3 linked regions of the Mytilus edulis genome follow. The protein of the gene in region 2 purifies or fractionates together with the protein of the main gene of each other region. This does not show direct contact. Links are inferred from orthologs where the notes say so. Each region holds a gene or a part of one and is shown on either strand. Other genes may lie near its edges.

Region 1 (10,860 bases), on a different chromosome or scaffold from region 2:
GAGTTCTGTGGATCTCTTAAAGGAATTAGACTTCCTCTGCCGTAATAACAGACTTCCCAAGTCCCTACTTTTTTGCAGTGCTGATGAGTTGGTTATTTGTCATGTTTGTGATAATGAATGATCGACCTAGATGGTGGGTAACATATACATTATTGTGACATCTCCATTATTGCTTTTATGAAGTGTACATGTACACTGATTCCACTGTCCATCAAAGCTGTAAACGAGGTTGCTGAAGGGTTATTTTTGTTACGTGCAATGTTATTTTCCGACATGTTTCTTGTTGGTATTCTTATTTATTTATTATGATTGTCCAACATTTGATTGAAAAAGTATACAGGACTATTCCCTCCCAAAATTAGATTTTGTATTAATGAACTGGTTCCCATGATATAAATTTCTCTCTTCTTTAATAGCCTGCATCAGGGCTCACACTACTTCAGAATTATAGGGAGAAGTGACTTCTCTTTTTGAAACTGATAGGGAGAAGTGGTGAGATTTGAAAGAGAAGTGCTCATTCGCGCGGTGCGCTACAATGTTTGGATTTTACAATAGTATAAAGGGCCCAGGGATGGGGTAATCATAATCTGTAATGGTAATCGATTGTAATTGATTACATTTTTTCAAGTAATCGACAGTAATCTGTAATCGAAGACATTTTCGATTACATGTAATCGTAATTTAATCGATTACAGCAAAAATTTGGATGTAATCATCGATTACTTTTCGATTACATTTCTATTACTTTAGTAAAATAGTTTGATGAAAAATAACCTATTTCAGAGGAAAATATGTATGTTATCACTTTGTAGTACAGATAAAATATTATGCATTAACAATACTTGAGATTTAAGCAACTGCCTTATTTCTATCTATTGTCTCTAGCTGCATTATGAGTAACCAGATCCCTCCCCTACCTAAATTTACTTTATATCTAGCTTTTGAAACAAATGGATGTATGTGCTTGTCAAAAATTCAAGAGCTTTAATATTTAAATAAGAAAATAGATTGAAAAAATAAAATAGATCTTAAATAAGAAATGTGTCTGTCTTTCGTTAAGTTCTGTACTACATTTTTTAAAAGTAGTAAGCTTATTTGTATTAAATTTCCTGAAAACATCATTTTCAATCAGAGTTGAAATTAAAGCTTAGAATACATTAACAGTTGATTTCTTAAATGTTATGATATATATACATGTATATAAATTAAATTAAAAACGAACACAAAATCCTTTTAACAATGAACCAATGGCAATGCATAGCAATTCTTTTTAGAAATAGATACATATATCCCTTTGACACTATAAATATATTTTGTATATAATTTGATTGGAGAAGTTAACAACATTCTTGCCTTTACTAATGAGATGATCAAAGTCTTCTAATCAATAACAAACATACTTTGTTTTTATTTCAATTATCTTATGTCTAATAAAGAAGGAAATTTACAATATTTAGCCCCAGGTTATAAATTGTACTCCAGTGGCAGTTAAATAATCTGTAATTAGGGTGGTTATCCAAACAAAAGTATTAAAACATGCATGTCATTATAAAAATAAATTTTGATCTTAAAAATTAGCTGAACTAATTAATTATTCTACTTTTTTTTATATTTCCTTAAACATTGTAATAAACTATGCTAAAATATTTTTTTTAAAGAGTAAAAACAAAAAAGCTAACGTGTCAGTAAGAAAGCTAATTTTTTGAAAAACAATTAGTTATGAATAAGTGATTATTGCAATGCGATGACATCTTTCATATATGTTGAAAGTCAAAATTACGAGATTTTTTAAATATTTCTAATTTTCATCAAGAGATTTGATCTAAAAAGCAGCTATTAACTAATAATTTAGAAACAATGCTTTGAATGATGCATTAGGTAAAGATCTTAATTTCCACTATATATACAAATGTTGAGCAATATAATTATGTTTTACTCATGTTATTTTTTGTTGAAATGTTGAAGTATGTAATTGACAGTAATCGAAAAGTAATGTAATTACTTTTGATAAAGTAATCGATTGTAATCGATTACATACTAAAATTTGAGTAATCGATTATTAATCGATTGCACAAAAATCCTTCATGTAATCGATTATTAATTGATTACATTTGTCTGTAATCATGCCCATCCCTGAAAGGGCCATATGTAAATAATGTTCTTTTTGTATTGTTCAATTCATATCTGAGTAAAAAAATTACAATTAAATTAACATTTTAAATTAAAAGTTGTTTAAATTTTACTAAGGTTCTTGTGAGAAACTACCAACTAAATATCTAGCACTAAAAAAAATTTTAAAAATGTAAAGAAATTATAATATATCAATTACAATTTAATTAAAAATTATTTTGTGTATGAAATTCAGTGTTTCTCATAAAAAAATATAAAAGTTATTAAGCTTGGCCATAATATATTGATATTAGTATAATAGTCTCAGAGTTAAGCAATTTTAATCAATAGTTTGAAACAATCCATAAAAAATATAGGGAATTATATACACCAATCAATTAGATGTAACCAAAAGTCTCTTAATGCGTGTGGAATGCGTAATTTTCCCTTTTGGGATCAATATTCTTCTGTCAGCTGTTCCATCCGTGCGTCCGTAGTAATTATTGTAAAAGTACGGATTTCGGTCATAGCTGGTCCGGTTTAGATCCGTAGTTTAGAAATCGGTCAATGGCGGACGAATGCAAGAAAATTTACAAAAATAAACGATGTTTGACAAGTTATTTGGAAAGGAACATAACGTTTTTAATGCAATAAATGGATTAAACATTTACTGGAGGCAACTTTTATCACGTTTAAATGAAGTAACAAACTTATTTTGCCGCCGAAATTTAGGTTGGTGTACGTTTTCGAGTAAGAACTTGCGGAAATGCACGAAGTGATAAAAAGTTGTATTTTTATCAAATAACCTGCTTCACATTGCGAAGACAATGCTTCAACCTCTTTTCTAAAGACAATGAATCGTTTATGTCTGAATTTCTTTAATTATCAATAAAAAATTGATGTTTCATCAACTTGGTAAAAATTGAAAATGTCCGATGACGGAAGCGACTGAAAGCGAGTATCGTCAAGAACAGGGCGACTTGTTTTCGCTTTTGGGGGTCGGGGAAAGCGAAGTGACGTTCGGGAAGGCGACTTCTTCGCCCAAGTCGCCTGGTAGCGTGAGCCCTGTGCATAAAATACCTAAATACTCTTTTTTTCAAATCATATATACAATGAGACACTTAAAGATGACGGCAGGGTCTTCATGTCTAATAGTCATTTTTTTTGTTTTTCCCCATTTTTATTATATTTCTGTGCAACAATTTTGCAATTTTTGTTTCTGTGTTTAGACCCCCCCTTTTTTCAACTGTTGCCAGTGTAGGTCTAGGGGTTTTTCAAATAACTGGAAACCTTATGACTAGTGCACGTGTTATCTTAGTTAGCCAAGGGTTATACAATCTCGGAAAGGGGAGTGAAATGTAAATTATGGTTTATATCATGGTTATCGAAACCCTTGGCTAGCCACAGTGGGTAGGTGTTAGGTGCAGAACTGTAGCTCTTATGTCCTTATGTTATTTTTTTTCCTATTTGCGTACAAATAGTCAAAAAAATAACATAACTTGTCATAAGGATCTAAGAGCTAAGGTTCTGCAGCAAGGTACATGTAAGGGTAGTCCAAGATTACTCTGACATCCAACGGCTGTTTTGAAATGTTTTGCCAGACAAGCTGGGGCCGTGGGACGTCAGAGCTTGTCCCATATCAAAAAGTGGATATTTGCCCACCCAAAATAGATGCGCTGCTTCGTCGCTTCTGGGGCCGACTGAGGGCATTGGAGTTATATAAATGGGGCATCAATCTGTTCATTTTTCATTTATCTCTTCATTTATTTAATTTTCATCTACCTGCCAACCTTTATTTTTCCATATTTTAACGTTTTCACAGAGACCTATCGATTTCTGCATTTTGACTTTCACTTTCAAATGGACGTCAAGTTACGAGAGAGTTCGTGGCCTCGAGACTCAAATATGAAAATATTTATATTTTTTCACCTCCTTTATATATAGGAGATCGATGTTTAACTTTTAGAAGCCAACCACGATTTTTCATCTCCTTCACAGGAGATCGGTATTAAGCATTTAGTTCCAACCACGATAACAATTGGAAGCTCTCGGACATTTAGATAACTTGCATCGTAAATGAACGAGGTGTTACATTATGGTCATTTGCACTGTTTTCTCGTGGTCACGTGATAATCTTTGAAAATGAAAGTCAAAATGCAGAAATCGATGGGTCTCTGTGAAAACTGTTAAAATATGGAAAAATAAAGGTTGGCAGGTAGGTTAAACTTACATAAATGAAGAGATAAATGAAAAATGATCAAATAGATGCCCGATTTATATAATTCCAAGGCCCTCAATCGGCACCAGAAGCGACGAAGCAGCGCATCTATTTTGGGTGGGCAAATATCCACTTTTTGATATGGGACGAGCTCTGACGTCCCACGGCCACAGCTTGTCTGGCAAAACAGCCATTGGACGTCAGAGTAATCTCGGACTAATGTAAGGGTTAGGGTGGTTTTGTCACCATAGTTTGAAATCATAGCAATAACGGTGTAATATGCCAAAAACTCGACTATCACATTAGAGCTCCTCTCAAAGAGAAGAGGCACTTCGAGAGAAGCTCTACTGACTGTGATAGTCGAGTTTGACATATTTTTACACAGTTATTGCTAGGATTTCAAACTCCAGTGGTTTTGTATGGCTTTAAATGGGTTGGGAATTCATACTGTGCAAATATATTAAACTATCAACAATAAATAACAGTCACTTATCAAGAAACTAACTTGATTCAAATATATGTGCGGCTATATCGTGTTTCTCTCCCTTACGGGATTGAAGAAATTTTACCTTGATTTAACATCACTTGTGATTGGTTGGTGAAAAAAGGAATAAAGGAAAGATTTTAAATTGAAAATTATATTAAATACGACTGTATTAGTATAATCTTGATTCTATCCCGTATTATGAGCATTATTAGACACAATAATTAAAAATCACTTCATTTCGTCGAAAAAATATATAAGAAAATAGAAGACGAAGTCACATACAAGTATTCGATAGTATATATAATAATTGAAAAATACGGGACAGATTCAAGATCAGTATATATACTACTTTTATTTTATTCTATTTATTAGAATATACTACTATTTATTAGTATATACTAGTTTTCTTTCTGAAATAGAGAAGAAATACTTAAATTATACAATGATGTATCTATATCTTTTTAAAAATACGGGACAGATTCAAGATCAGTATATACTACTTTTATTAATGAATTATAAAAGAATTATACAATGGTAGATAGTAATATTGAAAAATACGGGACAGATTCAAGATCAGTATATACTTCTTTTCTTTCTGAAATAGAGAAGAAATACTTAAATTATACAATAATGTATCTATATCTTTTTAAAAATACGGGACAGATTCAAGATCAGTATAATTATACTACTATTTTAGATACGGGACAGATTCAAGATCAGTATACAGTACTATTTTATATTTTAAAAATGATAACTAATAAATATATTATAATTCTTCAATAATTAACGATCTTAAAGGGTTTTCTTTTGGGGAGACTATATATAAAAAGGGGTATAGATATTTTTGGGGGGAAAAACAAAAAATAAATGTTTAAAAATAAAACGGGATAGTTTAAACTATACCTTGTTTGAAAGGTAAATAAATTATTGAATTGACTAATACATGTTGGTATTGTGATGGTTACAATGAAAAATTATAGGTGAACTGGAAATCAGTTTATTTATTCGCTGAGGTTTATTCCGTAGATACCTTTAGATAGAATTTTAATCAAGATATTGGACAGGTATATTATCGATTTGAAGGAAGGTATAGTGTATTTTTTTAAATGTTATACTATTTAAGAAAGTTAATACTTTTAAGTCATGACAGTATACAATAGAGAGTTATATTATATAAGAAAGTGAATACTTTTAAGTCATGAAAGTATAAAATGCGAAATATTTAAGGTACGTATTCATTGATCAAAATGGCACAAGACACGCGGCGTAGGAAAAAACACGGCGAAGGTAGTTATGATATTCAGAAGTATGATGCTGTTGATATTGGCTTTCAAGATTTTGGCAATATTTGGAGTTTTACCAATTTATTTCGCTCATCAAATCCCGTTGTATTCGAATGGTTACGTAGGAGGGGGCTATTGGTTGACGATCTTGAATGTTCAGTTTGTTCCCAAATATGCCGAATTAACAAAAGAAGCAACAAACCAGATGGATTTACATTTCGATGTAAAAATGGTCACGAGTTTGGTATTAGGAAGTATTCTTTCTTTGAACGATCATCCTTCAATGTCCGAGATCTCCTAGTTTTCGTGAAATACTATTTAGAAGGACATAGTTTGTCAATGAGTGCAAAAACTGCTAACATGGATTATAAGAACACTGCCGTGAATTGGGCCAGTTACATTCGTGAAATGTTTTGTGAGCATGTGTACCGTGAGTACAGCAGTACTGTCCTGGAAGGTGAGGTGGAAATAGACGAGAGTCTATTTGGAAGAAAGGTGAAATACAACCGGGGGAAGCCATCGGGTACTAGAATTTGGATCTTCGGCTTAATAGAAAGATCTACCAATAAACTGGTGATGTACCCTGTCGATAACAGATCTGCCAATACTCTGATTCCTCTGATACAGAAACATGTGAAGCCAGGATCCCGTATCTATTCCGACTCGTGGGCATCATACCAGACTCTTAATCAAATTGGTTATGAACATTTTACTGTGGTTCACAAAACCACATTCAAGCAGAAGTATGTGAACAATGAGACTGGTGAGATTGTGCATTGCTGTACCAATAGGATAGAAGGGGCATGGAAGTTGGCCAAGGACCATTTTCGCCGTATTAATGGTTCCAATACAAATCTTTTCGAGCAACATTTAGCAGAAATCGTGTGGCGCAACCATGCACACAGGCAGAATATGTACTCTGCCTTCTTTGATCTGTTACAGAGTATTTACCATCTTCAAGGTCCACCCCAGTTTACGTACTCAAGACCACTCTTTAAAACCTGGACCCCTCCCACCAAAGACGATGAGAAAGAACACAACATCACCATCATCCAAGGGAGTGATATTGAATCAGACGAAGAACAGGTGGATTCACCCCAGATACAAGAAGCCGAAATGTCGAGGAGTTTGCCATCAGAAACACCACCTCATGTCACCAAGAGGCGTAGGAGACATATACCGCAAGCTGTAGATGAAGCCCAACCAGGCCCTTCCAACATAGGAAAAAACAAGAGACGCAAGTTACCCCCAACCCCACCTATAGCAACAGAACAAACAGACATTATTGTTCTTGATGAGGAAACTGACGATGAACAGCATCTTTTCCACCCAAAGAGCTTCAAACCATTAAAGAAAGCCTCCAAAGTCCAAGGTACATCCAGAAAGGGAAAGGGAAAAGGAAAAAATCCCTATTGTAAACAAGCCTTTGTTTATGATATGTCCACGGATGATGACTTTCAATAGGTGAGTAGATATCAAAATCATTAGAATGTATCATATTGTTCTTTAAACTTCAGTTGCTAACATGTCCAGGAACAAAGAAATACGTGATGCCTGGATGGTAATTCAGGATGTTATTGGTGATGCAAAGTTATGGCCAAAGAATATTAGAAAAATATTTTGGACTAAAGACGTGAAGCACTGGAACAGAATTATTCTTTGTGCATTTTGTTATATCAATGGGTTAAATCCAGTGCTTCTGATAGAATGGGCCAATTTGATGGGCTTATGCAGGGATGGAAGTGGCATAAGGCACATAGAAGCCTTATTCAAACTGTTTGAAAAAAAAAGTTATAAGTTATATGGCTATAATGTGACAATGGGTCGCTATGAATATATTGATGGAACTGTCCGTCATTATGTTCATCGAAGTCTAAGACATTAGGTAAGTTCATTTACCTTTATACACTTTATCCTGTATAGCCAATGTTAACGGAATAAACCTCATAATAGGTTAGGCTAAATTTCAATTTTCTATTTACGCTTTATTCCGTTAAGTTGTCCACGGAATGAACCTTAACAATGAATAAACTGATGTTCAAATTACTATAAAGGAATGGTAAGCCTCGTTCAGACGTACAGTTTATGTTGTAAACATGCTGCATTATGCGGCAATGTAATAAATAGGCCGATATTAAGTATATCAATATATATTTTCTTTCAGGAGTCTTACCAGTGTGTAAATAGTGTATATAATGATTTCATGGTTTATTATGGTGATGGTTTTTAATTTGGAGAAAAAAAGGATATTTGTGACAGTCCTGGTGTGAAACGATGTCATCAGTCATCAGATGCAATAGGTAAGTGAAAATACATCATAAAATCTTTCTTTTATTCATTATATTTTATTCGTACGGAAGCGACATCTATCGCAAACAGTAAAATAAACTGTACCGTTATGAGAGGGTAGGGGACAGAAACACGATAAAGCCCGTTGTGCTTTGTAACGTTTCCTCATTTAACGATTTGTGTAATTCCGTGAAAATTAAAGGCATTTGTGTTAGCCAAAAAATGTAAACAATCATCGCAAAAAGTATGGCAGCCCGGCACCAAAGAAGCCGTGTATGTTGGATATGTATTACTTTGAATTGTTAAAAGTAATAAAGAAATATCTACGCCAAACTAAAACAGCATACTCTATGAGTCTATGTTATATCTGATTGAAACGGAGACGGTCGAGTTGTTTGTCAGACTGTCTTATTTAGGGTCTGTCTATTTATATCCCGAGAAACTATAGTATATTTCTTATTTAACTTTTACTTTACGAGTCTTTATCGGGGATGCGTGTTATTTTTACGAGAATCACCAAAGAGTTGAGACAGTAAATGTTGGACTTCATACTACAACATACTACAGTTAAATATGCCACCTTCATTTTTTTACTATATAATCAGGGGCGGATCCAGCCATTTTAAAAAGGGGGGTTCCCAACCCAGAGTAAAGGGGGGGATTCCAACTATATGCTCCCATTCAAATGCATTGATCGTCAAACAAAGGGGGGTTCCAAACCCTGGACCCCCCCCCCCCCCCCCCCTTTGGATGCGCCACTGATAATGCAGAAAGAACTACCAACAAAAGAAATATATAAAAAAATATTTTGAAGGCATTTTTTTTTTCTTCAAGAAAACATCATCAGACTCAGATTTAACACAGCTGTATTTGTTTAATAAATTCGTTTTCATGAAGTGTCCTCCTTTTTGATAAAATAAACAAGTATTTGTTTATCCTTATAGAAATTAGATGAATTTCTAAGATGAAAGAATATATTTTAAAAAACATGTGCACTTTTGAAAAGAGACCAGAAAAACAACTAAATTCAAAAACAGGCCAAATAAACAAAGATACTGCTACAGAAAAAAATACTTCATTTAATGTATAATGATACACTAATGATTTGTCAATAAGCCAGTAATTAATGGTCGTATGGTTATTAGACATGAAAAGCAACCCAACAAATATATATAGCTCTTAGCAAGTGAAAACTAAGGCCAAGTTTTAATATGTTATAACAAGAAAAAGTTGGCTTTTAGATTTTAATTTTTTTATTACATATGCTATCAATCTAATCTTGAAAAAAAATTATTATAATTTCTGTTTAGGTTTAATACCAGCTGCTGTACAAAACGCACAAGAATTAAGAAAATATGGTGATGCTATTTGATTAAGTAATACTATATGCTTTACATAAATATTTTTGTCAATACATGTATCAAATATTTACTATATTAAAAGCAAGTCCCCGAGTGCAAAAAACACAACATTTAAAGGTGTGAAATTTTTAATTATTCTGTCACATGTGTGATTTATGTCAATGGTTAATTGGTGTTTAATGCCACTTTCAGCATTATGTACTATTTCGTAGTAGTTGGTTTTTATTGGTTGAGTTAGAAAATAATGCTTGAAGAGAACCAAGATCCAAGCTAGTAAAATTGACAGTCAATTAAGATTATAGTCAAACTGAAAGGCTTTGAAATTCACAACCTTTGTGTTGACAGGATAGTGATAGAGAAGTTATTTACTTAAGACCATTTGGCTATTGAAACCAATTACAATGAAACAGTTACACAACAATGTGTCATAGAAAAAGATGCAGTCTTTATCCATAGCACAAGTTAAATAAAAAATTGCTGAGTTTCCGTTTTCTTACTTTAATTTGCCGCAAACAAATGTTATAAAACGAATAGGTATACAATGCCTATTACCACAAAAAAACAGATCATGTTCAAAATTGGGTGGCGTCACTTTTACCATTCATGACTTATTTTCTTTTATAAAATGAAGGAATTACTTAATCTGTTGCTTTAATTCTCTTCCTCTTGTTTGATTCAACTAAATGTTATGAAATTTATACACAATGCTTATAATTACATAAGAGCCTTAATGAAATTAATCCTGCATCTGTATTTGGAAGTTGACTGCCTCTGGTGCATATTGTTACAGGCCGGGTATTTGCGGCCCAAAAACACATTCTCAATTTATTAAACCATGTTCATTTACAAGAACAGCCTAGTAGTATAGAAAAACCTCTGAAATCGCCTTCAATATATTTTTCTAAATCAACTTTAAATTAATTTGAACAATTGACTAATTGAAGAAAGCGTGGGTGTTTTGTTTAAAATGTATACTGATCCCCAATTTGAAAAAAAAATATTCTCAATGCTCAGATTTTTTTCTTTTTTTCCCCATTTTCATTACAATAGAGTAGTGGTATATAGAATAAAAATAAAAATAATCTGATTAATTGTGTCAAAAAACTAAATAAA
Region 2 (10,970 bases):
TTATATTAATACCTTTGAAAATATTTTTATATTTTAATTTTCATTCTCACTTAGGTATAATTCAGATTCTACAAATATCAACTCCTTTGTATATTTTACTGGATTCATGACGATGGACACTACATTATCACTCTACAAAAGGATATTAATAAACCTGTATCACACCATCTACTGGCTTCATCGTATCTTTTTAACTTTAAACAGCACATAGCACCTGTAAATATGAATAACAGTTCTTCAGTTATTCATTATTTTTGTATATGAGTTACTAATGAGATTTTATTTAAAGATAAAGTTAACATGATTGCATAGTTGTATCATAAATGTCCCATTCTCTGTTTTCTGTGAAATAGTCACAAGGTGTGAGAACTGTAAATATAAAAAAAGAAGATGTGGTATGGTTGCCAATGAGATGTACACCTCCATTCAGGGATTTTTGTTTGCTGTTATTTTTTTTTTAAATTTATGTCCATTGGTTTTCTCTGTTGAATTGTTTCAAGTTTTGTCATACCAGCGCCTTTTTGAGGGTACTATACTATTTTGGTTTTACTCCTTGTTGAATGACGTATAGTGACCTATAATTTGTGGTCTAACGATAGTTACCTCATTGGCAATAATATTACAACTCTTCATTTCTATATTCAATCCAACATAACCTAAGACAATAATAATACAAAAGAATACCCCTTAAAATAGCTTTCATATGATCTGACTTGAATTTTCTGGCAAATATACAGTCATGTAAGGAAGTTCCGTAATTTCCTGAAAAATTAGAAAAAAAGGAATTATTAGTTGTAATAAAACCAAACCATTTGTTATTCAAGTAATATTTTGAAATAATATCCATAGCCTACAAAAAATAAGGTAAAAATGTGTGATTATTTTATACTTGCTTACGTCAGTTGTCGATTTTAGTTATGCAAAAAGAGAACTTTCAGTATTTAGTACTACCAAAAATCTATTTATTTTATAAACATTTCCTTTCATTGTTTACTTGATGTAACTCATTTGATTAGTTTTCTACAGGTATGGCCAGCATCTTATAATGTAATTAACCAAACTGGGCAAAGGGAGATAACTTCAATTCACTAATGTTAAAATATCATTTACGTAGCAGTTGGTTTTTAGAGTTTAATGTTTATTTTTGAAGCAGTTGGTTTTTAGGTTTTAATGCTTATTTTTTCTTCATTTTCATTTTTCAGATTAATGTGAAAGTAAAATATGACCATTGGAAATGAAACAGGAGACTTGATACCCATAACAGTTTATATAATTGAGGGAATGTATATAGGGTGTAATTTTTTGCATCTGATATCTAAATCCAAATACTGTTGTCAAATAAATACATACATTAAAATTAAATGCTAACCTATCTCTGAACCAAAGCAATCTCACATTGACATATTCCATTCCGATGACTATACATTCAAGTTTATCAGTATGACAAATTTCTTTGAGAAGACAGGAATTTGGAGATAAATGAGTTTGCAGATAATAAGTTTAAAACTGTAATTAAAAATTTGTCCATACCTCTATGAAATTGTGCAGCTGCTCGATTTGTATACAATACAGAATTCAGAAGTTTATCAGGACATCTCAATTTAATTCCTTCTGTATAATTGTCTATAGCTATATCATATTTCTTCTTTTTAAACTCATGGTTACCATCCATTTTATATGCTTCTGCTCCGGCTTAAATTATAACACTTATAAACATTATACAAGACATAATATGAACAGCTTCTCCAGCTAAAAAGATTGATTTTATTCTGCTTTTCTGTAATCTGTTTGTTCATGCATTAAAATTATAACTGACTCTGCAGTATGGGCTAGCTCATTGTTGTAGGCCGTACGGTGACCTATAGTTGTTAATGTCTGTGTCGTTTTGGTCTTTTGTGGACAGTTGTCTCATTGGCAATCATACCACATCTTTTTTATTTTGACCTATTTAATCAATTTTTTTTATTTATTTTTATTATGAACCAAGTAGATAAAATTTGTGTCCAACCTAAATGTGTTGTCCATTCCTCCACCAAAGCTCAAGCAATGAATAGATGCACCAAAATACAATCCATTCATTATCACTTATAAAAAGCTATTCTCAAAATCTCCTTTTATTGTAAACAATGATTATCAGAATCATGAAATACTTATGAAGTATTCTTGTTTGATGATTCATGGAATGCTTTATCTTATTTGACAACAGAAGAATTTTTCATATTTTTTCATTTAGCATTTAAAAGGTTGAAATCAAATAAATTAGATATTTTTAAAAGATGATAAATATCAATATCAAACCTGTTGGATTTTCATCTTCGTACTTGAGTTTCATCAAAGCTTCTAACTCTGGTGTTAATGGTTTACTCCAATCTACTTCTGTCATGAAAGCTGGATGATTTGCTATGTCCTAAAACAAACATTACAGATAAACTTTTTTTAGCGACTTACATATGGTCAAAATCTTCATTAATTTTTTTTTTTAATTCTTTTTTTTTATATGTCATATTTAAAATGTATTATTGATTCTATTAAATATCATATTGGTTGTATTAAGCAGAATCTCTGCGCAAAAAATACAATACAATGCGTTGACTCACATACTTCTATATTTAAGTCACTCTCTTTTTCTCCTTCTTTCTCATTTTTCTCCTTTTGTTTGGCTATACAATCTGCCACATATTCTTCTAATTCAGAATCTAATTTCTTTGCTAATTCTGCTCTTTCTTCATCTGTCCATACTTTCTTTTTTGGCATTTTCTGTAAAAAAAAAAGATATGTTCATCCTTAAGACATGTAAGATGAATTGGTGTGATGCTTTTAAAAAAATGTTTGACTAAGTATTCACTCATTTTTTTGCACCCTGTCAGCAGTGTGTATGCAATCTTTAAATTATTCTTACAAGAATATGAAAAAGTTATTAATTTTCTTAAAACATATATGTTTAATGAAATTTAAAAAAGACAACACTCAGTACATGTTTGCAAAGTTTCTACAGATACTTTATAGGCAATTAGAGTCAATAGTTCTACCTAATCATTTATATGAATAAATTAAAAAAAATAGTTTACAAAAAAAGAGATTATTTCAGTTTCCCAGTAGTGAACTTTCTATTTCTATGTAGCAACTATCCAGCAGGCTGAGCAGAGCCTATGCATCATGTGTATGAAGTACAAAATGTATAAATCTCAAAGTTAATACAATTTTTCCAGATCTTACACTTCCTATCATAATATCCTTGATAGATGGATGCAGCATACAAGGAAGCTATTGAGTTCCAAGTCTTGAAGTCAAATCATCCCTTTGAAAATTTTATGGACAATTTTAATTTAAAGAGTTAGTTGACCTTTATCTTTTTTATGAATTGTTTGTTTCACAGATGAACAGGACGACCAATATGTTCCAATTTTTCAAATTCATCATGTCCATGTCTTGTTGTTTTTTTTGGGGTTTTTTCTATGGTCGGGTTGTTGTCTCTTTGGCACATTCCCCATTTCCATTCTCAATTTTATTTACCTTGAATGTGACCTAATGAAATCAACTTTTAATGGGTTTGTTCGGCCACAATACACAAACAGTAGTCCAAATAATTAATATAGCCTTGCTAGACGTCCTAATTATTTGGACTTCATGTACGGGTGCCACATCAAGTGATGCAGGATTTTCCTACCCTTTCCAGAGCACTTGGAATCACTGTTGATTTTTGGTAGTCCGAGATTACTCTGACGTCTAACAGCTGTTTTGCCAGACAAGCTGGGGCCGTGGGACGTCAGAGCTCGTCCCATATCAAAAAGTGGATATTTGCCCACCCAAAATAGATGGGCTGCTTCGTCACTTCTGGTGCCGGCTGACGGCCTTGGAATTATATAAATCGGGCATCAATCTGTTTCTTTTTGACATTTATCTTTTCATTTATGCAAGTTTCACCTACCTGCCAACCTTTATTTTTCCATATTTGAACAGTTTCCACAGAGACCCATCGATTTCTGCATTTTGCCTTTCATTTTCAAAGATTATCACGTGACCACGAGAAAACAGTGATGATTTATGCTAATGACCATAATGTAACACCTCGTTCATTTACGATGCAAGTTATATAAGTGTCTGAGAGCTTCCGATTGTTCTCGTGGTCGAAACTAAATGCTGAATACCGATCTCCTGTAAAGGAGGTGAAAAATCGAGGTTGGCTACTAAATGTTAAACATCGATCTCCTACAAAGGAGATGAAAAAATATAAATATTTGCATATTTGAGTCTCGAGGCCACAAACTCTCTCGTAACTTGACTTCCATTTGAAAGTGAAAGTCAAAATGCAAACATCAATGGGTCTCTGTGAAAACTGTTAAAATATGGAAAAATAAAGGTTGGCAGGTAGGTGAAACTTACATAAATGAAAAGATAAATGAAAAATGAACAGATTGATGCCCGATTTATATAATTCCAAGGCCGTCAGTCGGCACAAGAAGCGAGGAAGCAGCGCATCTATTTTGGGTGGGCAAATATCCACTCTTTGATATGGGACGAGCTCTGACGTCCCACGGCCCCAGCTTGTCTGGCAAAACAGCCATTGCCGTTGGACGTCAGAGTATGCACCTTATCGCTATTTGTCCGCCATTACTGGATATCACACAGGTTCCCGTAAAATTTTGATGTCATAAAGCAAAATATTTGACACCACAATGGAAAAGTGACTGTTGTTGACGTCAAAAGTTCAAGCGGCCGGGTCAGCCGGTATTAGCGATAAGGTGTATTATCTCGGACTAGATTTTTGGAGGAGTTTGTGTTGCTCAGTCTTTAGTTCTATGTTGTTTTTTTTGTGTACTTTTTTATTTTAATTTTTTTGTGTGTTCACCATGACATTTAAGTCTGTTTTCGCCTCACAGACAAGTGCCTGCGTTTCGACTGCTGTCACTAGTGTCAGTGATGAGTTTGGAAACCATTTGGTAAAACGATTTTGGTCTTTATGATGTCCCTACTACTTTTAAACTACTGAAAGAAATCAAAAATCGCTTCATGTACTTTACATGTTTTATCTAGGCTCCATTTTCTGTGTTTTGGAGTGAAACTTACAGAAGAGATGAAAACAATAATATAAAAACGTGATTTTTTTTACAGGAAGCAAGAAACGAATACTAAATACCGGCAGCGTAACGTAACGGATATGCATATTCCGTATTTAGTGATCTTCTTCTTCCAGTTAAGCGGCCGCAATCAACTGTCTGATTATTCTGCCACTGTGATAATACAAGTATTAGCTTTTCTAAAAAATCTTGCCGTTTTATAGCTTAATATATTGAAAATGTATTTTTTTATTTGTAGTATCATCCATTCAAAAAGATAACTCTTGTATATATATTGGGAAATAAAAGTGGAACATTATAAATAAAACACAGGTGTTTGTGGAGTAAACCCCCCTTTTTTATTTTTGGTTTTTATATTTTATTTTATATTTTATATTTGATATTTTAGCTTACTGTCAGTATATTAACTTAGTTTTATCTATTTAAGGTGTTCAAAGACTTTTCAATGCGATTTAACAATATTAGTAAAAAAAAAATCCCTTCCATCCTTATCTTCCACAAGTCACCATTTCAGAATCTAATGCATTCTGGGTAATACTTTCAAAAGCATACACCAAAATGTTGTGATTGATTTAAATTGTACAAAACAATGGAAATTAAACCAAAGACGTAAAGTTATTTACATTTTAGTATACGAACAATGAGATTACCATATCGTCCTTTAGATTCGAAAAAGACAAATTGTCCCTTTATTGTGAAAAAAATGGTTCAACTGTTTCAAAACTTGCATGATTTTGACCCAGCAGAGCAATGTTCTAAAGATATACTTTTATTGATTTTTTTCTTAAACTAAGTTACCAAATTTTGTTGTTTTCTAAATTTCTCCAAGTTTTGGTCACTCAGATTTTAAGTTTATTGAGAAATAAGCATTTTATTCGATCTATGGCCACTTTTAGTTCTTTATCATACAGTGTATATATATAGGACCCATATATTAAAATCCTTGGTATAATTCAGTATCGGGAAGGAGCTCTCTGTATTTAGGTATATCATATAAAATAACCAAAATATGTTTGGAGCTAAATATAAAACTACTAGTGAATGTGTTTGAGATTTTGATTTTGCCATTTCATAAAGGATTTTTGAATTTTTCTTACGGATCAGTCTTCTTGGTATCTTTATAGATTATCTTTGATCATCTCAAAGAGATTGATTTTATTGCTTGAGCCGGGACGTGCTATTTTACCCATGATGACGTTGTCAATTTCGTTAGCAAAGCCACGTGCCTGCTTAGTTTCTAGCGATAATTTTCCATCTCAAGCGAGTAGCATGATATGAAAAAATTATCACAAAAAAAGATCAAAGGAAAAATGCACAAATTAGCGATAATTATAGATTATCGTTGATCATCTCAACGAGATTGATTTTCTCGCTTGAGTCGGGACGGCGAAAGCGAGAAAGGCAATCGAGTTGAGATGATCAATGATAATCTGTTTATCGCTATTTTACCTATGACGACGTTTGTCAATTTCATGTCAATTTCGTTAGCAACGTCACGTGCCTGCTTAGTTTCTAGCGATAATTTTCCATCTCAAGCGAGTAGAATGATATGAAAATTATCACAAAAAAAGATCATAGGAAAAATGCACAAAATAGCGATAATACTATTTACAGGTTACTAATTTGACTTTCACCTCATGTTTATGGATTGTACATTTCATGTTTGGTCAAAGTTAATTTTTTTCCGTATTCGGTCTATTTGTCAGATACAATAGCAGTAAGGCTACTCTGTTTTATGAAATGATTGTATGGTGTACATGTCTGTTGTGATATATTCGACTTGACCTTATTATTATGGTACATTGGTCAATTTAAGTTTTCATGGTTTTGTCCATTTATCAGATATTAAAAGCAATAGGTTAAGTACATATGGTGTAATGAATAATCATGAGGTTTTCATGTCTGTCTGAAAAGGTTCATAAGTTGAATGGTTCATTAAATAATATATAGTTTTTATGGTTTGATCTATTTCTCAGATACTATCAGCCATAAGGCCACTAAAATTGGTGTACATAATTATTCTAGTTGTACATGTCTGTCTGTTCATCTGGCCATGACCTCATTTACATAGTTCATTCGGCAATGCTCAGTTTTTGAGGTTATTTTTGTTTGTTTCTAAAATACTTTTGTAAGCAATATGGCAATACTATTTGGTGTATTAAATGTTGGCTAGCAGGGTTCATCTGACCTTCACGTCATTTTTATGGTTCATAGGTTAATGTTCAAATTTTGTAATTAATTATGTTTCTCAGATACTAACTGCAATTGGCTAACTTTATTTGGTTTTTGGTGTGACAGTATGGTGTTCAAGACTCTCTGGCAGGGTTTTAATGACATTAACCTAAATTATATTGATCATTTATAATGTTAAGGGTATGTGGTACTGTTATAAAAATGTTCATGTATACAGACTTTCAACATGAATTCAAACATGAAAAGTGAAGCAGGCAAGACATTTCAGTATATGCACTCTTGTTAACACACAGTCTAATGAAAAGTGTAAAACAAGCATGCAAACCTTTTCTTATGCAGAGTAGCAACATGACAACCTATAGAGTTAGGAATAGATTATTATCTGCCTTTTATGGTAATTTTAAAGGAAAAGAATCTAGTGTATACATTTAGAAACAATACAAAATTAAGATGTAGTCTGATTGTGAATGGGACAACTCTCCACCAATGCACCCCCTTCCACTAACCTGGGACAGTGATGTAAAGGTGCAACACAAGAACAAACTGTAAACATCAGATGAAAAGGACTAAACTCATCAGATTGGTTTTAAACATAAGTTTGGTGATGTATAATATAATTTTTATGTTTTTAAAAATTGAATGATATCAAAGACAGTTTGGCAAAGTATTCAAAATAACTGTCTTGGAGGTCAGATAATAACCCCTATACTACCTAAAATTGCATTACACAAAAAAAAACAACCTTGTAATAAAAATACAACACAACATATGGCAAGATATATTCATTTTTATTGAAAAAAAATGAAAAAGTAACAAATCCACCTGTACAAAACTTTTTGTTTTATATTGCACCAAAAGACCAAAGAAATTTATTTACTGCTCATCTTTTTTTACACTTTAGCGTATCATGTTTAGCTGTATACACCTATTTCTATATTCAAAACGAAAAAAATTTAATACAAACAAACAAACAAAAAACAAAAAAGGAAATTAGTCATGTTAATTGAAGATTATGATTATGTCATAATCTAATGTCCAACAACTATACAAAAAAAATCTATTTTCATGTACAATTCAGTACTATAAGAGTAATATCTATCACAGTTAACTTTGATTTGAAGAAGCGCTCATCTGATCTGTGTTTCTGGTAAAATTTAATACATTTTATTCAAATGAATGTTTATTCAATGACAACATATGTAGCATCAGTGGCCACTCCACAATTATTGTCTTTTTGAGACATAAGTACATATCCATCCATTCCCCAGTATGTTGACCAAGAATTTTTAATTAACCAGTAAGCTTGACCATTCATTGTCCCATATCCCACAGCTAAAACGGCATGATCCAAATCATCTGGTTTATTTCCTAAAAATATAAAAAGTTAAACCTACTGTTACTCTCATTTCTAACAATTATTACTTTTTGATATAGATAATCTTTTTATTTATTTTTATAATTTCTACTCTTTAAAACCAAGTAACCTATGCATTTAAATCTGCATTGATTTAGAGTTCAGCTGTATAAACAAATATTTTTTATCAAATTCTAAAATACCTTATAAACCAAGGATGTTAAATTTTGAAATGCCTTATAAACCATGCCACTTTGCTTCCTGTTTTATTACTTGTATTGATACAATTTGTTATAGCACATACAATAATTTTTAATTGATAATAGATAAAAAAGGCACATCAATAATAGACTTTTTTTTAAGGTAACTTATAATGCACACATTGTATGTGGCAAATACCAGAAATATATTATCTAAATTATCTATAAACAGGACCTTTCAAGTGATATGTGTAGCAAATTTTGGACCATAGTAAATATTTTATTGTGAGTTCCACATAAAATCAAGGAAGTATTAAATAACTTTATATCCTTTTCTAAATAGAATGTTTGCACAGAAATAAAGAGCTTTCTGGTAAATAAAAACCCACAGAAATTAACAGTTAACAAAGGTAGGACAGACAATATATGAATCTAAGAATATTGAATTCAGAACCTAAGTAACATGGCCATTAGACCTATAAACTTTGGTTCATAGTATACACCATTAGCATAGAATGACACTTACCACACTTTGGTTCATAGTATACACCATTAGCATAGAATGACACTTACCACACTTTGGTTCATAGTATACACCATTAGCATAGAATGACACTTACCACACTTTGGTTCATAGTATACACCATTAGCATAGAAGCACACTTACCACACTTTGGTTCATAGTATACACCATTAGCATAGAATGACACTTACCACACTTGGTTCATAGTATACACCATTAGCATAGAATGACACTTACCACACTTTGGTTCATAGTATACACCATTAGCATAGAATGACACTTACCACACTTTGGTTCATAGTATACACCATTAGCATAGAATGACACTTACCACACTTTGGTTCATAGTATACACCATTAGCATAGAAGCACACTTACCACACTTTGGTTCATAGTATACACCATTAGCATAGAAGCACACTTACCACACTTTGGTTCATAGTATACACCATTAGCATAGAATGACACTTACCACACTTTGGTTCATAGTATACACCATTAGCATAGAAGCACACTTACCACACTTTGGTTCATAATATACACCATTAGCATAGAATGACACTTACCACACTTTGGTTCATAGTATACACCATTAGCATAGAATGACACTTACCACACTTTGGTTCATAGTATACACCATTAGCATAGAATGACAGTTACCACACTTTGGTTCATAGTATACACCATTAGCATAGAATGACACTTACCACACTTTGGTTCATAATATACACCATTAGCATAGAATGACACTTACCACACTTTGGTTCATAGTATACACCATTAGCATAGAAGCACACTTACCACACTTTGGTTCATAGTATACACCATTAGCATAGAATGACACTTACCACACTTTGGTTCATAGTATACACCATTAGCATAGAATGACAATTACCACACTTTGGTTCATAGTATACACCATTAGCATAGAATGACACTTACCACACTTTGGTTCATAGTATACACCATTAGCATAGAATGACACTTACCACACTTTGGTTCATAGTATACACCATTAGCATAGAAGCACACTTACCACACTTTGGTTCATAGTATACACCATTAGCATAGAAGCACACTTACCACACTTTGGTTCATAGTATACACCATTAGCATAGAAGCACACTTACCACACTTTGGTTCATAGTATACACCATTAGCATAGAAGCACACTTACCACACTTTGGTTCATAGTATACACCATTAGCATAGAAGCACACTTACCACACTTTGGTTCATAGTATACACCATTAGCATAGAATGACACTTACCACACTTTGGTTCATAGTATACACCATTAGCATAGAAGCACACTTACCACACTTTGGTTCATAGTATACACCATTAGCATAGAATGACACTTACCACACTTTGGTTCATAGTATACACCATTAGCATAGAAGCACACTTACCACACTTTGGTTCATAATATACACCATTAGCATAGAATGACAGTGACAAATATGATGCATCAATACCCACAGAAACTGGTCCCATATGGGCAATAGCAAATGTCAATGCTTGTTGGTCATACTGTGTTATGTTCACATAGTTCTTCAGTTTAGCAATTGGTGTCACTTTGTCTTTTCTACATTGACCATCCTGAAAGATTTAATATTATA
Region 3 (10,816 bases), on a different chromosome or scaffold from region 2:
CGTTCCGCTAAATTATTTGCGCAAATAAAGTTTGTCTATTTTTAGATTACAGGTAATAATTTGACACTACGCATTAACCTGTGTAGTGATTTTGATTTTACGATAAATGTATGAATGAACGATAATTTTATGAATGAACAAGAGCACCTGACCTCTTAAAGAAACACAAATTAAACATAAAAACCGTATTTATTAGGAGATAATTCAGTTAAATTTTCAATACTAAATCAACAACTGAAATGAATCCATATTTTGTTGAAACATCGTACAAACGGCGGAAAACGGAATCGCATTTATAAAAATGTACTTTTTTTCACTCGGACTTCTATGTTATTTGATAGTCAAACGGTTGACCCTTTAAATACAAAAATACATCTACAAGAACATATTCTGAAACTTCTTAAATCCACTAACTTTTTTTTAAAGTTTCAAGCTATGTATTGCATTAGAAAACATACATAGGTGTTAAAGAATGACTGACAAGGAGCCTGTTTAACAAAATACTATGGCTTGATCTGGGCGGAGTCTCTGATCTGGGTCACAAAGATGGCCATACGCGACGGCATAAAAGCAATTGCTTTAAAAATTGGTGAAATAGTTATTAAAAGGGCAATATATATAACTTCTGTAAGAAGTATATTGACAATTGACACTGAGGCTAAATAGAAGATCTTAGTCTTGAAGATTATTTTGGCTGCTTAAAGTTCTTTTTTTTTTTTTTTTTATCTATTATAGTTTTCTAGAAAACATTAGACAAAAACACAAAATATTGGTAAAGCACAATTCCCATAAGGAGTCAACTGACAAATTCTGTCATTTACATTTATATGTACAAATGTATATCATAATTTTCTTGTGGTACATGAAAATTTAAAACAAAAAATATGTTTAAGTTAGTAGGCGAAAAAATAAATTGAAAGGGATGAAAATCTTGTTTTTTTGGTGAAAGAGGTGTAAAAAAAAACTTGACTTATTGCAAATACTCTTAGTTCCATGAAACCTCTTTCACCAAAAAAATAAGATTTTCATCCCTTTCAATTTATATTGTTCATTTAGCTGATAGATTAAAAACAATCCTTGGGAATGATGATCATGATAAATTGCTTGCCCTTTTTAAAAATCGGAGAAGACCCTATAAAAAGGACAAGCAATTAATCATGATCATCATTCCCAAGGATTTTTTTTAATCTAACAGCTAAATGAAAATTAACAGTATCATTAATATTACTGCATCAGGGGTTAATACCAACAAAATAGCACACTAAATATTACCTTGAAAATTGAGAGTGTTCCTTTTTGTCCCATGTAAAATCAAATATATTTTTCTCCATTCTTGAAGAGTTTCTCAGCCAATTTGATGGTGGTACATTAAGATTTGTAGAAGGTTGCAAAATTGAAAAGGCTGTTGACACAGGCACTGTTGAATGCTTGACTACTACCATGCTTTTAACTTCCTGGTTATCATCCTTGTTTCTTTTTACCAACTCTTTTCCTTTTGTCTAGAAATAACAATAGACTAGTTTATATAGAACACATACATGACATATAAGCCTTTATCATTTTCAAAACAAAAGACTGATATCACAAATCTGTTGAAAATGTACATGATATACTTTTATTACTTCATCCAACTCAATTGTTAAATAATCATTCCAAAGAGTTTTTAGTTGATACTGTTAAAAATATGTAAGGAATTTTAATTATCCTATCGTTGCCACATCTATCCTGATTCCCTGACAATGTCTATCCATATCGAATCCTTTACGCGCAATTCAGCGGTACGCGGCTCCTTTGTGAACAGATAACGGATCCTTGCCGTAAACATAAGGTGAGTTAACCTAAACGTTCCTTTAAAATTGTGTTTTATTCTGTCTAAACACTCTGGTCAACAAAAAACAAATAGCAGGCGAAATAAGCCAACTATCAAGGTAAGTATATAGATGTATTTTATTTCGTTAGCTAGTATGATTACGAAATAATCACTGAAACAAGGGAGTGCAATTGTATGAAATTGCGAAGTGATGTTGACATTTTCCAGACTTTCAAGCATTTCTTCCCTGTTTTTGCTGATAAAAGTACTGAATTGTATTAGAAATTGACGTTCTTTTATTGGGTAAAACAATCTACCGAAATTCTAATGTTCAGTCTTCTGAAATTAGTTCAAAATGTTATAAAATTTGTGGCAACGGATCTTTATGATCCGTTTCCAACACGGTCTTTTAATTCTATCTGGAGCTTATTGTATACTCTTTTATACTCAATAAAATGAAATGAGCAATTAAAAAATGATGAACTGTTTATTCAAATCCATATTGACAGAAATAACATGCATAAAACGCTGTTTTTTGGAAAAAACAAAGGTTATGTGAGACACTTGCCCACTTTTTCTTGTAAAAATAGCCTGTTATTCTTAAAACTATCTATAGTCATAAGAAGAGTGGATCAGTTTGACATTCTAAAGTTCCGTGAACTAAGAATTTAACACAAAATACCTCTCTGATTTGTTGTCATCCATAACTTTCTAACAACATCACGTTGTTTTTACGGCAAGGATCCGTTATCTGTTCACAAAGGAGCCATGTACCGCTGAATTGCGTGTAAAGGATCCGATATGGATAGACACCCTGACCCTTGTTTTCCCCCTTTTTTGCCCCTAATTGCTGAATGATTTGAGCCATAACCCCCCATATCCATCCCTTTGTAGTATGGAAACTTGTGGTATAATTTCAGGGAGATTTATACACTTAAACATAAGTTATTGACTGAAAACTACAAAAATGCTTATTTCGGCCTCTTTTTTGACCCCTCACTTATTGAAAGTTTCAGAAACCCGCCTCCCACCTTGGAGCAAGAACCCCAAAACTCAATTCCAGCCTTTCCTTTGTAGTAAGAAACCTTGTAGCATAATTAAAGAGAGATCCATTCTGGCATTCAGTTAAACCCAATTTTTTGCCTGTAATCTAGAAAAATGCATCTTTTTGGCCCCTCATTCCTAAATGTTCAGGGATATTAACCCCAAACTAAATTAAAGCCTTCCCTTCGTTATATGGAACCTTGTGGTACAAAGTCAGAGATATCCATACAGTTATACATAAGTTATTGTCCTGAAACTACAAAAATGCTTGTTTTTGACCCCTTTCTGGCACTTAATTCCTAGACTGTTTGCCCACACAACCCTTAAAATAAATCTCAACCTTCTACTTTATAGTATGACCATTGTGGTACAATATCAGAGCAATTAAAATACTTATACACAACTTATTGTCCTGAAACTAGATAAATACTTGTCTTGGGCACCTTTGGGCCCCTAATTTCCAAACCGTTGGGACCATAACCCCCAAAATCAATCCTAACCTTACTATTGTGGTAACAAACATTGTGTAAAATTTTTATTGGTTTTTATTAACTTATACTAAAGTTATTATCCGGAAACCATTCATCTTAGGATGACGCTGATGAAGAAGACGACGGCGTGATACCAATATACGACCAAATTTTTTTTAATTTTTGCGGTCGTATAAAAACATATATTCAATTTTTAATGTAATCAAAGTTTAATTTTGGACCCTTTGGACCTCATTAAAAACTGGCCCAATTATCAAAAACATGTTTAGATTCAAGCATATCAAAGAATCTCAAGAATTCAGACATTTTTACTTTTATTTTCAAAGATTATCACGTGACCACGAGAAAACAGTGACGATTTATGCAAATGACCAATATCTAACACCTCGTTCATTCACGATGCAAGTTATCAAAATGTTCGAGAGCTTCCGATTGTTATTGTGGTTGGCACTAAATGCTTAATATCGATCTCCTGTCCTATGAAGGAGGTGAAAAAGTATAAACATGATAAATATTTGCATATTTGAGTCTCGAGTTCATGAAGTCTCTCGTAACTTGACGTCCTTTTGAAAATAAAAGTAAAAATGTCTGAATCGATGGGTCACTGTGAAAACTGTCTAATTACATATGTATGAGAAATTAAAGGGCGACAGGTACATTAATGAGGGGGGATAGGAGGGGTCTTGATCCCGAAATCCCGGACTTGAAAAAACGAAATCCCGAGGTCCCGAATTTAAATAAAGCAAATCCCGACATCCCGAAATCCGAAAAAAAGGATTCCCGGATCCCGAAAGGGTCAATCCCGAAATCCCGATCTTAAAAACACCCGATCCCGGAGTCCCGATAAAGGTCCTATCCCCCCTCATTAATGAAGAGATAAATGAAAAATGAAAGAATTGATACCCGATCTATATAATGCCAAGGCCAACAGTTGGCACCAGAAGGGAGGAAGCAGCACATCTATTTTGGACAGGCAAATATCCACTTTTTAATATGGGACCAGCTCTGACGTCCCACGGCCCCAGCTTGTCTTGAAACACAGCCGTTAGACGTCAGAGTAATCTCGGACTTCCCACAGAAGTTTTCACAGTAGAGCTTCTCTCAAAGAGACAGAATCTCTACTGTGATAGTCGAGTTTGGTATATTTTTACCCCATTATTGATAGGATTTCAAACTCCTGTGGACTACCTATGGATAGAAACAAATATAAAATTTGCCTGTGCTACACTTGGGGGAACTTTAAGAGTGCAGAACTCAGCAGATCTCGTTCCCGTAGTCTTACCTTAATTTTCTCTGTGTTTTGCATTTTAGTCAGAAATTATTTAGGCTTATAGTTTCAAGATTTCGGACTAAGTCTGGAAATTTCCCGATTTCTTTAACTAAAGGGAGGTTATCATCTTCTCTATCATTAAAGTGTTTGAATTGATGGTGTATATTGGAACTTTTAAACGTTTTAAAGATAATGAAAATTAAGGTATAACTCGTTTGTAATGTATAAAAATACTCCTGTTTGCTAATGAACCTGCAGCCGGGGCGTGTTTTTTTTATCTTCGGTAGTGAACCAGAAGAGGTCCTTTTCTGTTTTTTTTTTGCATTGGGAAGATCTTCTGGCTCTCTTCCACCTCTTCTTTTTTAATAGGTGGTTTATACGACAGAGTCACAAAACTAATGACATTAATTAGTTTATGAAAGTAGATATAAGTTAGAATGTGAGCTGTGTAATACTGAAAAGTTTTTATGGTACGACAGCCTTAGTAGGACATCTCTGAATTGATTTATTGGTGTTAAACGCTAATTTCAACACTCATAATTTGGCTAGTGCTCAGTTTAAATCAATAGATGAGGAATGAGGAAGGAAAGAGTTCATTATTAAAATTGAGAAAGGAAATGGGGAATGTGTCAAAGCGATAACAACCCGACCATCAATAGAGCAGACAACAGCCGAAGGCCACCAATGGGTCTTAATTATTGTTCATTTTAATTTGTCGCTAATCAAGCCTATTTTCAGCCCTTACCAGGCAACCATATTCATATACGAAATCCTCATTTTCCCTAACCCCATCAAATTAATACTGATTTATCTGATGTTTTTCTCTTATTTAACACAAGTTTAAATTGATTCTAATTTTTAACGCCCAGTGATAAATATTTCATGCATACCTGAAGAAAACACGAGAAATATAATTATATAAAAACAAAGATATGTGATATGATTGCTTATTAGACAACTTTCGACCGGAGTTCAAATGATGAAGTGGACAAAAATGGTGGATGTAAGCAGTTATAGGCAACGGCCTTCAACAATGACAGAACCCGATACCATATGTAAAGCCGTTTATAAAAGGCCATGAAAAGTGTGAAACAATTTAAATGAAAAACTATACATAACAATTGTTTTTACACAATATCAAATATGAGTTCAAACAATCGGCCAGTCAAAGAAGAAAACTAACAACCTAACCAACGGTACAAAATAATGAACGAAAGACAAGTAAGTAACACAGCAACAAACGACAAGTACTGACTTACAGGCTCCTGACTTGGGACAGGCACATACATATAGTAATGTGGCGGAGTTAAACATGTCAGCCGCGGATCCCAACCATCCCTTAACATTGGACAGTGGTGTAACAGTTCAACAAAATGTTTGTGAGCGCTCAATTCTCCCCGAAGCTGAAACCGTATAGTGTAGCAAACAAAAATGGCTAGCAAACCTACAGGAATCACCAAAAGCATTAAATTATCGTTTATTTAAAGATACTTTGGAGTTTGAGAAATATTTAAATATTTTGAATGACAGGCATATATCCTAATTTCGAACTTTGAACATGAAATTTCCAATACAAACTATTATAAATTGTTATTTGGATGGAGAGTTGTCTGATTGGCACTCACAAAACATCTTCCTATATCTATTTAAAAGATGGCAAAACATAGAAAGGGAAAACAGAAAATGTGTATTGTGTAATTCAGAGGCCATTGGTGATGAATACCATTATATTTTTTAATTATTCAGCTTTTGATAACTGTAGAAAACAATGTATTGCATTTTGCTATAGAAATGGACCAAACACATTGAAGTTTTATGACTTAATGAATTCAAAAAAATGTACAGAACTGAACGAACTATGTAAACTTATTAAGGAGATCAATAACAAATTGAACTTTTCTGGGTGAACAATTGTAAATGCCTCTATCTACTTTCGTACATTATTTATTTATGTAATTGTATTGAAATATGTATAATTATCTCTATACCTTTGTAATTTGGTTTGTGAGAATAAAGATATATAGTACAATATAAAAATAACCTGCACAAATCAGTTGCTATTAAATTAACTCAAAAGATCGGTACGAGACACACACACAAAACCAGCCAACTAGAATAATGCCAAGAAATCCTCGCTAAAAATTCCGGTCGACCCCCAACGGCAGTCATTAGTAGCTAAAGATTTGATTTCATTCAAGAAATTAATGTATGACCTTCAAGTACGTGTCGCTTAGAACACGGCCATATACCAAATGGTCAAAATTAATCATCCATGTAATTTGCTCTATGGGGTGTTTGCAGAATTTCAACGGAGGCAATTTCTTGGCAAGACCAATAAAACACGCCCCTGACTTTGTTTATTGCAAAAGCATTTTAAAGGGACAATAGCTGTAAAATTCATGTTCACCGATTTGACTAAAATTCTCATATTAGATTAGATTTAATATGAGGAAGGCGCTACCTTAAATGCTTAACAAGACTGTAGTTTTTGTCTTGGATAAAATGATTAATTACGAGATGTTTAGGGAACGACCATCGAACATCAAACTGAGGCGGGAGGGGGGATATGTTATTTCTCTTTAAAAAATGTTCTTATTCCCAAATTGAAACAAAAAATATTCTTCAAGCAGAGGACAAACAAAAATTTAATCCAACAGATTTTCCCTAGCCATACATTCATGTAAAATGCTTAAATTTTGATTTTTTTTATATTGGAAACGTTGACATGGTTGAATCGCTTCGCGTGAAAAAAAATATTACTTAAACAAAAACAAAAAAATACCTCCCCTCCCTTTTTTTGAAGATAAATGGTTGCTCCCTTATGGTCCATACTGTTTTCTTCTGAAAATGAATTTACACATTTCTTATCTTGTTCAGGTGTATCAATTGAAAGCAAGTTAAAAGCGCAAAGTTAAAAATCCAGTTCGGGATGAAAATTTCAGGAACTCTTTTTTTTACTCTCCCTTGACACCATTTGAAAGTATGTTAAGAGGAAACGATGATAGTCCGTCGGAAGGGGACGATAAATGGCTGACCCGTGTTAAGAGAGAGCCATATCTCTTGCACCGTTAAAGACACCCTTGTAGAGTTCGAAAAAGAGCAGGCTAATGCCGCTACAAGGCAGCACTCGCACCCGCAAAGTGGAAAGGGATAAATTTACAAAACTTGTTTCCCAATCCACTATAAATGAGGGGGGATAGGAGGGGTCCTGATCCCGAAATCCCGAGTTTAAAAACATGAAATCCCAAAATCCCGAATTTGAATAAAGTAAATCCCGACGTCCCGAAATCCTAAAAAAAGAATTCCCGGATCCCGAAAGGGTCAATCCCGAAATCCCGAGCTTAAAAACACCCGATCCCGGAGTCCCGATAAAGGTCCTATCCCCCCTCATAAATAAATATGTTTAAACTCAACTAAAACAAAAAGCGCAAATGCCCGAAGTGTTTCAATGGCAAATACCCATAGTTTTTGAAGTGCAAATGTCCTTTTATGTCTAATCCTATTGTCAATGTTTTTGGACAATAAAATATGTTTAAACTAATGTTACAGGTTAAAAAGCGCAACCTTCATACGCCTTGTCTTTCACGATAAAGAAAATGCGTTGCCCATGGATCTTTCACGATCAATTTTGATGAAAAACCAACAAACTTCAATGTTTTCAAAAACAAAATGAACGGTTTCAAGGGGGAAAATCTCACATTTTCCTGTACTATCTGACACACCAAATATATCATTATATCTTGGAATATGATCATTATATATGCAAAACGTTGATCATTATATATGCAAAACGTGTTTTTTTTTAATCCTCTTTATCCTATTGCACACTAGTATTATCTAAAAAGTTGAATACTTTTGACAGACGTAATTATTTTTTCCAAATTTGTTCCGCGTTTTAAAAAAAACAGTAGATTTTTCACAGATTTTGAAGTAAAACTACAATTAATTAGATTCACGATCCGAAACCAGGCCTTGCGGTCATAAAACTTTAGAGCACGATTTTTGTACTCAGACTCAAGAATCAACCAATCAAAACGGTGCTTTGCTTTTGGCATTTCAATTGCGCCAAAAGAAATCTTTCATTTGCGTCACAAACCATATTTCATTTGCGCCCAGGGGCGTAGCTGCCGTTAGGCACTTTAGGCACGTGCCTACACATAATTTTTTCACAAATATTTTTTTTTTTTATTAAAAAAAATAATAAACAACGTTATCTGTAGATGAAGTTGTCAAAACTCTTTAATTATCGAATGTCATGTGTACACTAGTCTCTCGTCCTTAGTGAATGGAATATTGGCTAGAATTGAATGTTTTTACGATTTTACCTTATATAGAAACTATAAACTAGAACTTTGGTTTAGATCATTTCACTTCTAGACTATCAACAAAAACTTGAATAAACCTCAACTTAGACACATGAGTTTTTTAATTAGCTGTTGTTAGTTTTCAACTAGCTTTCCACTTTGTCTTCACCCGAATAGCCAATGTTGGTCGTCCGTTTGGCTGTGCAGGATGTATAAATACGCAGTCACGTCTGGTCAGAATGGGGACATTAAATCCGATGCCTAGTTGTAGACACGGGGGGGGGGGGGGTCTCTTCCTATATAAAGGTATATACATATGTGCCGCTGGAATGGGTCCCTTTTTTGATCCGTCAAATATATCAATGGGGTGCAATTTTACGGAGGAAATATATCAATAGGTAGTAATTGACCGATTGTGATATATCAATGGGTCATAAATTTCAGTTTGTTGTGCAACGATCTTCACTGAATTTCCCAAACTCTTTGTCATTAAAATTTCCACATCTGCTGAAACTTATTTACACAAGTTTTGATATTGATTAAATTTAATTACACTGTCACAATTAATAATCTTCAGTAAATTACCCAGTAGATATCGAAAGTTCAATGTTTCATATAAATTAAAGTGTATTGTATAATTGAAAAGTGTTTTTGATGTATAATAAGATTGTATATGCATATAGGTACTATTTGAGCTGATAAATATATGAATGGGTTATGATTTCGCTGTGAAATATATGTATAGGTAGGGATTTCACAATTATTCAATATATGAATGGGGGGTGTTTTTAAAATCCCAGCTGCACACCTGTACCCAAAATCCCATGTTGAGACCCCCCCCCCCCCCCCCCCCCCCGTGGTTGTAGAGAGAATGCAACTCTTTGAGGAGTTCATACTTGGTCTACTGAAAGGCAAAATTTCTGCTCCTATCCAATAATCCCTCATTTTCCAATGCATGGCATTTTAAAATTTCCAGACCTTCGTCCTGGACGACACCTAGTTTAAACATATTTTATTTGCTGAATTAAAGCAAAATGGATTAGACACAAGTAAATCATACTTATGAAGTCTTTTCCATAATACAATATAAAGTTACAATAATAGTATAATATAATGGACATGCATATAAAACAAACAGTTTATACAATATAATACTAGCTTTCATAGGTGAACAAAGAGGAGACAAAGAAGTAAAAAAGGAAAAAGAAAGTTTGAAAAATCGTATACTTCTGTGACGATGACTTGTGGATTGATGGCAACGATGACGTCCTGTGTCAGCAATAATAACGCTCTATCAAGGCATAAGAAATCTGTTTGACCTTTTTACGTAATTCTGAACATGTTTGAAAATTTGAATATTTTGTTCGTTCGAAAGTTCCAAGTGTCCGCAAATTAATAGTTTTGTATCTAAAACAAAGTTTTCAGATAGCCAGTTAAGGTTATCGAATAAGTTTTTCCTACATAATGTGTATTTTGGGCAAACGAAAAAGTAATGGTAGACATCCTCAATATCGGACCCACAATGACAAGAGGGATCATTTATAATGTTAGCTCTAAATAGGTCATTGTTTAAGGATGAAGCGGAACATCGCAATTGCGTTAAGATAATATTTAATTTCCTTGGGCCGTACAAATAAAACGTTTCAATTTTACATACTAGACTATCGTTTTTTAATTCTTTCTTAAATTTAGAAATAGAGTCGACACTGCGAATTTTTGGATCAAGTTTATTCCATTCACGTATAGTAGAGGGAATAAACGATTCAGTAGTAAGGGAAAGTCTACAAAATGGAACAATAATATCTTGACCATTTCGCAACGGGTAGTTGGTTGTACTTTGTACACAAGGAGGTACAAGATTACATAGATATTCTGGTGCATGCTTTTGGTTCATGTT

The links.
Region 1: the proteins of tetratricopeptide repeat protein 4-like (region 2) and protein HGH1 homolog purify together in Homo sapiens (co-immunoprecipitation; 4 studies listed by BioGRID and IntAct, counting the BioPlex papers as one, with this or other methods). This does not show direct contact. The link is inferred for Mytilus edulis from reciprocal best matches to the Homo sapiens genes TTC4 and HGH1.
Region 3: the proteins of tetratricopeptide repeat protein 4-like (region 2) and erythroid differentiation-related factor 1-like purify together in Homo sapiens (affinity purification with mass spectrometry; 3 studies listed by BioGRID and IntAct, counting the BioPlex papers as one, with this or other methods). This does not show direct contact. The link is inferred for Mytilus edulis from reciprocal best matches to the Homo sapiens genes TTC4 and EDRF1.

What each region holds. Positions count from the first base shown.
Region 1 is NC_092349.1:53,184,864-53,195,723, reverse strand, and holds the start of protein HGH1 homolog, read right to left. Parts: upstream 4,846-10,860; 5' UTR 4,833-4,845; intron 1-4,832.
Region 2 is NC_092344.1:7,120,730-7,131,699, reverse strand, and holds the start of tetratricopeptide repeat protein 4-like, read right to left. Parts: upstream 4,868-10,970; 5' UTR 4,853-4,867; coding exon 4,850-4,852; intron 2,758-4,849; coding exon 2,602-2,757; intron 2,408-2,601; coding exon 2,299-2,407; intron 1,693-2,298; coding exon 1,531-1,692; intron 763-1,530; coding exon 685-762; intron 215-684; coding exon 148-214; intron 1-147. Other genes in the region: digestive cysteine proteinase 1-like, read right to left, coding at 8,452-8,639, 10,761-10,950.
Region 3 is NC_092347.1:49,865,297-49,876,112, forward strand, and holds the start of erythroid differentiation-related factor 1-like, read right to left. Parts: upstream 4,765-10,816; 5' UTR 4,652-4,764; coding exon 4,628-4,651; intron 1,500-4,627; coding exon 1,273-1,499; intron 1-1,272. UniProt on the Homo sapiens protein: Transcription factor involved in erythroid differentiation. Involved in transcriptional activation of the globin gene.